2 linked regions of the Canis lupus familiaris genome follow. The protein of the gene in region 2 purifies or fractionates together with the protein of the main gene of each other region. This does not show direct contact. Links are inferred from orthologs where the notes say so. Each region holds a gene or a part of one and is shown on either strand. Other genes may lie near its edges.

Region 1 (3,520 bases), on a different chromosome or scaffold from region 2:
AATCAAATTTGAAGAATTTCTTGATAAAATATAAATCTGTTCTTTTGAAATTGGAAATGAAACTACTATCAATTGATGGAGAGCTAGAGACTTATTAACCCCTCCTAAACAGATAAGGAAATAAGTGACAAAGTCTCTTGCACTGAAGTTATGTATTTTAACAGCTTTACATGTAATATTCATATATAAAAAACTTTAAGTGCTTTTCTCCAATTTAAAAATCTAAAGAATTCAAAAATAAGGCATTCAATATTTGAAAAAAGTACAGATTTACAAAATGTGTATTATTCTGTCATGAAAACTCCACACCAACATTATACACTTGGAAAAAAATACAAACAGGATATATTACAAATTTATGTAAGCAATAACTTAGTTCACACCATGCAATAAAAAGTACATTAATCAAGATACACAAGCTTTTGTAGGTTCTAAACTGAAGGACTTTTTTTTTCTGCAGAATCCTTAAAACCTGTGGCACTTAAAATTTGTTAGCCTTTCTACTGAGAGGTAAATTATACACAACAATGATGAAAAAAATTAACAGACCAGTTGTCTATTATGAATCATTCCAGCTTTGTTCAACAATGGCCGAAACTCTTTTCTCATATTCTCGTTTGTTTTCCTGATAAAGCTGTGCTGCCTGGCTATTGGCTGGACTGTTTGGATTCGGTTCATCCAGCAGAGACTGAAAGGAAAGAGAAAAGGGAAAAAAGGATTAGTTGAATTGCTCTTTACATTAACATGGGTCAGATATGGAGCATAGAGGTTGTATAAAAGAACAAATTACTCAGGAAAGAAATGGCAGATATTAGTATATCTTCTGTATTTTTAGGTCTTAAATACTTTCAGAAATGGCTTGATCAATTTAATAATTTCCTGCTGCTAAAGAACTGACGCTTCCAAAACACAGTACTCAACTGCAGACCTCTAATTTCAAGGAAATTGGAAAAGAATATATATATATATATTTAAGATTTATTTATTCATGAGAGACACAGAAAGAGAGAGAGAGAGAGAGAGAGAGGGAGAGAGAGAGGGGCAGAGGGAGAAGCAGGCTGCATGAAGAGAGCCCGACGTGCGACTCAATCCCGAGTATCCAGAATCACACCCTGGGCAGAAGGTGGTGCTAAACCGCTGAGCCACCCAGGATGCCCCAGAATATTCTTCTTTAACATACTTAAGCATTAGCCAGGAAATAAACAGCTTGATTTGGTTAATATACAATATCTGGAAATAGCACAGCAACTAACATTAGTTAGTTGTATAATATTAATTATTGTATAATAATATACAATACTTGGAAATAGCACAGCAACTAACATTTTCCAAAGTTAAACTTTATTTTTATGGTTTACTTTGCAAATGTCTGATAGTAAGCTGGGTAGGGAATCTTGTTTCCTTTAATATAGAAAATATATACACCTAGCAGCAAGAGAATGAAATAGGGAAGTTCAAAATGTTTATACAATGACTTGAATTAAAGCAGAAATACAACAGAAAAAGTTTTAAAAATATCACAAACCAAAATTTGACTTCTGCTCCTTTTACACCCACATAAACTAAAACATCCCTCACTTTACTTCTAAAACTGTCATTCAGGGTCAACTCTGAAATAATCTGCCAGACTGGTTTGGCAAATGGTTACACTATCTGTTTTTAAAAAAGGATTTCTTGGATGGGGTAACATACTTAATGCTTCTCTGCACTTGGCAGTTTCCTGAGGTCACTATGGTTTTTCTAAGCAATCATCTTTATTTCCAAGAAGAGTTTTCCTTCTCCACATCCTCTAGCTATCCTTGATGGTCATAAATAATACTTGACCTGTGAGAACACTTGATTTACACAAGGACCAGGAAAATGACTGTAGGTTTGATCCAATGTGATCACTAAGAGAAAGGCAGGCCAGGGATGTCTGGGTGGCTCAGTGGTTGAGCAATCCACCTTTGGCTCGGGGCATGATCCTGGGGTTCCAGGATCGAGTCCCGCATCGGGCTCCCTGTATGGAGCCTGCTTCTCCCTCTGCCTCTCTCTATTTCTCATGAATAAATAAAATAAAAACCTAAAAAAAAAAAAAAGAGAGAGAAAGAGAGACAGAAAAGCAGACCAGCTGTCTGAAAATCATGGGATTATCTAAACTGTGATATTGGTTACATGGGTGCTAGGAAGCAAAGTTTGCTCATGTGGTCTTTAGACTGCTCCTAAAGAAGCTGACTCCTAAAGAAGCTGACTATCCCACAGAATTTTGAAAATTCATGATGCAACCTAACATACACTTACCTGAATTGATGTTAAGATAGAAGATACATCATATGTTGGACTCCATCGATTCTGAAGGATATCTAAACATATGCTACCATCAGCATACACTGTAAAGACAATACTAAAATTGGTTACATATTGACTTTATCATATTTAACAGTTAAAGAGAAATCTTTGCCACAAACAGAATGCTTGGCCCAGTCAGAAGTTTTGAACATTATTTACCAAACCCTCTTGTCTCACAGAAAAACCACTGTTATAACTAAGGTCTCTTATTTTGCATCTTTTTGTCAGGAGGCTTTGCTACAATTAAATTTTTTCAAATACCCATCTTCTATACAATCTTTTTAAATCCCCTATTTCTAAATTCCTTAAATAAAGCTCCGGAAAAAAAAATTATTTTTTAACATCATAATTACATTCCCAGAAATTACTTCTAAAACAAGTAAGTGTGAACATACGAAGTTTTATTTATAGGAAGTTCACTGTAATACTGTTTATAAGAGTATAAAATTAGAAACTACCTTGTGGTTCATAAAGAAGTGACTGGCTAAATAATAGTACATTCATATCACATAACCAACAGCAATGTAGCCAAGAGAAATGATACATATCTACCTTCTGTTAACTAATGCAGAAAGACCTCCACAATGCATTACACCTAAGATTCCATTTTTAGAGGATGTCCTTTTTTTTTACAAAATATTTAAATATTTTCATTTGAACCACGTAACTATTTTGACATTTTGTGTAGTCACAAAACATCTGTAAGACTAAATGCCAGAATATAAGTACTGGCTCTCTGTAAATAAAAGGATTCTTGTATTTCAGGATTTGTTTTTACGATATGCATTCCTTTCATACTCAAAAAATAAACTAAAAATCAAGTGATTAATAGATTTTAAGTCTTTAATATTTGGAAGGTTCTCCTCCCTCTGAAACTGAATAAATTTTTTTACCTGCTTGTGGGACTCTGTCTATATGACAAATTTCCATAACTGCTGTGTTGACAAAGAATAAATGCATTTAAATGTTATACTTTCAAACTTTGGAAAGTTTCACGGAGCAAGCCAGATCCTCTACCTAAAGACACAACTAAGTAAGGCTTTTGGGGGGAAGAGGAGGCAAATTATATCTAAATACTGTCATTTCTTTTTTTTTTTTTTTTTAAAGATTTTATTTATTTATTCATGATAGTCACAGAGAGAGAGAGAGAGGCAGAGACACAGGCAGAGGGAGAAGCAGGCTCCATGCACCG
Region 2 (3,520 bases):
TAAGTGCCATATTTGAAACCATAGGGCTGCAATAAAAGAATACAAGTTTCATGAATGAGCCTAAGAAGTTTCCATTTAATCATAAAGCAGTAGACTTTAGGTATGTACATATTAAACATGTGTGGTTTTGATGATTTGAACTGGTAGAAGTCACTCATATATATGAAACCATCTCCTATAACCCTCACAGCAATCCAATATGCAACACAGAAGCCAGACACTCAGTTAACTGAGCCTAGTACACTCATTCTTTTTTTTCTTAAGATTTATTTATTTGAGAGAGAAAGAGAGCGTGCGAGGTACAGAGGGAGAGAATCTCAAGGAGATTCCTGACGCAGGGCTCGATCTCACGACCCTGGGATCATAACCTGAGCCAAAATCAAGAGTTGGATGCTCTGGGCAGCCCGGGTGGCTCAGCAGTTTAGTGCCGCCTTCAGCCCAGGGCCTGATCCTGGAGACCCAGGATCAAGTCCTGTGTCGGGCTCTCTGCGTGGAGCCTGCTTCTCCCTCTGCCTGTGTCTCTGCCCCTCTCTCTCTGTGTCTCTCATGAATAAATAAATAAAATCTTAAAAAAAAAAAAAAAGAGTTGGATGCTCAACGAACTGAGCCACCCAGGCGCCCCTGTGCACTCATTCTTTGAATGTCAAGGGTGTTCTGTGTGACACATCATTTTGAGCATACACATGGTATCTTATCTATAGTTGGAGATATACTCATAAATGTATACTAAAAACTAAAATTCTATGGGTAATTCCTATTCGCCTACCAATCCTTCTAAATTACTTTCAGATTAAAAATGACTTATAAGGAATAAAACCCAACATCTTTCCCATTTGAGAACCAATGGTCAAGAGATAAAAAAATGTTAATTATTTTTTTACCTATTATCAAGAACAGCAGAAGTAGAGGCATCTAGTTCTAATGTCTGCTGAAAGAGTTCTTTGTTCTCATCAATAAAGTGCCGCTGCATCTCAGACATCTGGGCCATGATCTTTTCTCTGCGCAGTCTGGCAATCTCAGCTTTTCTCTTCCTCTCAGCTTTGTCTTTGTCTCTTGAACTCTGAAAGTATGCTTCATTTAATTAGACCATTAGATACCAAATTAACATTTTTGCCCCAAAGCAGAACTGTCTTGATTGTAACTACTACTTAAAAACTATTTAATAATCTTACTTATCTAAACAAGAGAAAAGATTTTTTTAGCCTGTTTTAAAAAAAAGGATAGACACAGAAAAAAAAATTGCTACAACAAATAAAAAGTGGCACATTGTTTGGAATTCACATTTTTTGTGAATAACATCAACTACCAACTTATTACAGATAAGTTTAGTTGTTTATAGTGAACTTGCTACAATCCTTCAGTAGGACCTCATTTGCTTTTTATACCTCTTCCATTATGGTTCCTTCAGTCTCTGCCACAGGACTGGTGGATGAACTCTCTCTTATCTTCTTAATAGCATTAAAAGTCTATGACAAAAAGTGTCAGTTATTTGGAAGCTATGAAATATTATCAAAATTTAAAGATAACAAACACTGAATGTTTCTCATGAAAAGCAAAGTGATGCCAGAAATTGTACCTTTAATATCCATCTAATCATATCTTTGTGGACATCTAGGTAGGGAGCATTCTGTAGTGTTTCCAGCATAGCTAATATGCTAGGGGAGTTGTTTGGTGCTTCACCAGGTTCTAAGGCAGAAAAAAAAAAAAAAGGCACAATAACAACTAATATTTCACAGTGTTTATTACTATGCACAAGAAGATAAGGTTGCTTATAACATCATCTGCCCATCATTTATTTACAGCTCTACTTATTAGAGATTTTCAATACTTCTTAAGAATGTGATGTATCTGTACTTAAAAACAAGTTAACAACTAGAATGCTTTAATCATTCAAAATGGACATCTTACACCAAGTGATTATTTTAACATAGCCTTTAGCAATTAAATAAAAACCCAGCTAAAAGGTCTGAGATTTTAAAAAGTGTAAGAAATGAACTAGATTACAAGGATGTGTGTGTAAAAATACATCAACTTATTTTGGCCCTTTTTTTTTTTTTAAAGATTTTATTTATTTATTTATGAGAGGCAGAGAGAGAGAGGCAGAGACACAGGCAGAGGGAGAAGCAGGCTCTATGCAGGGAGCTTGACGTGGGACTCGATCCGGGGTCTCCAGGATCACACCCTGGGCTGCAGGCGGCACTAAATGGCTGCGCCACCCGGGCTACCCTGGCCTGTTTTTGTTTTTTTTTAAGGTTTTAATTAATTTATTTGACAGAGAGAGCAAACACAAGCAGGGGGAGCAGCAGGCAGAGGGATGGGGAGAAGCAGACTCCCAGCTGAGCAGAGAGCTCCACATGGGGCTAGATCTCAGGACCCTGGGATCGTGATCTGAGCTGAAGGCAGATGCTTAATCAACTGAGCCACCCAGGTGCCCCTTGTTTTGGCCCTTTAATAAAACCTAGATTTAAAATAAAATGCATTTCTTCTTCTGTAAGTTATTTCTTTATTTGAGGAAAAGACATATAAGACATATAAGTCCACATCAAGAGTACACTTAATCTAAATGTTAGCTAATTTAGTTTTTTTTTTTTTTTGCTAATTTAGTTTTATAGTAAAAAATGTCCAGTTATTGACTTTCTTGGTTTAAGTGCTGCCATTTGGGCAAAATATTCCTAAGAGGGCAAGAGATTGAACTATGTGATCTTTAATATTCTTTCAGATCTAAAGTTCAGATCTAAAGTTCTAGAGAAAATGATTGCTGAAAGAAAGAGAGAGACAAAGAGAATCTGATGTTATAGAGAGATGCGTGGATGAAATTATAGTTTAATACCTATAATGGGTATTACTATCCATTACACCACCTGCTGAAACTCCTAGTATAAATTCATTTAAATATCTGAGCAAATGGTGGATTGCAGGTCTGGGGCAGGGAAAGTATAAGATGAGTCTGGGGCATCTTTTGTGCCAGAAAGTAAGGTGTGCTCAAATACTAACGGGCTAGGGTCAAAAGGGCAGGGAAGCCAACTGAACAGATTCCCACTGACCAAAACTGGCAATTTGAGCATCAAAAAGAATCTTTTTTTTTTTTTTTAAAGGAACCTTGATCATATGTGACTATAAAAAATGGAGTAAATGAAAACCCAAGAGTAATATTAAAAAGCAAAGCACAACAATCCTAAGTGAACAAAGAAGCCTCATGGTTGTAACCCCTGAAGGCAACTATTAGACCAAATGCTTATTCTGAAAATCAAGAGAGGAAAGGCTTTTCTTTAGAGATGAAATATGAAAGGCTTTTCTTAGAGATGAAATATGATGGCTGAAACAAATGCTTTAAAAAAGTGTGCAAATATTAAAGAAAATATAGCAAAATACTAACTACTAAGTCTAGGTGGTAGGTATATGGATGTTTCCTGTACCAACATTTGCCTGTGTTTAAAATTTTTAACAATAAAAAGCTAAAAGAAAAGTCTTCTGGCCTTCTTAAAAAAAATCACATTACTTTATATATAAAATGATAATC

What was found. The genes of interacting proteins can lie anywhere in the genome.
Region 1: the proteins of UBR2 (region 2) and UBE2B purify together in Homo sapiens (affinity purification with western blotting; 3 studies listed by BioGRID, with this or other methods). This does not show direct contact. The link is inferred for Canis lupus familiaris from reciprocal best matches to the Homo sapiens genes UBR2 and UBE2B.

What each region holds. Positions count from the first base shown.
Region 1 is NC_049232.1:22,545,967-22,549,486, reverse strand, and holds part of UBE2B (ubiquitin-conjugating enzyme E2 B), read right to left. Parts: intron 2,370-3,520; coding exon 2,281-2,369; intron 689-2,280; coding exon 560-688; 3' UTR 1-559. UniProt on the Homo sapiens protein: E2 ubiquitin-conjugating enzyme that accepts ubiquitin from the ubiquitin-activating enzyme E1 and transfers it to a E3 ubiquitin-protein ligase. In vitro catalyzes 'Lys-11'-, as well as 'Lys-48'- and 'Lys-63'-linked polyubiquitination.
Region 2 is NC_049233.1:11,452,360-11,455,879, reverse strand, and holds part of UBR2 (E3 ubiquitin-protein ligase UBR2), read right to left. Parts: intron 1,687-3,520; coding exon 1,577-1,686; intron 1,467-1,576; coding exon 1,386-1,466; intron 1,061-1,385; coding exon 882-1,060; intron 27-881; coding exon 1-26. UniProt on the Homo sapiens protein: E3 ubiquitin-protein ligase which is a component of the N-end rule pathway.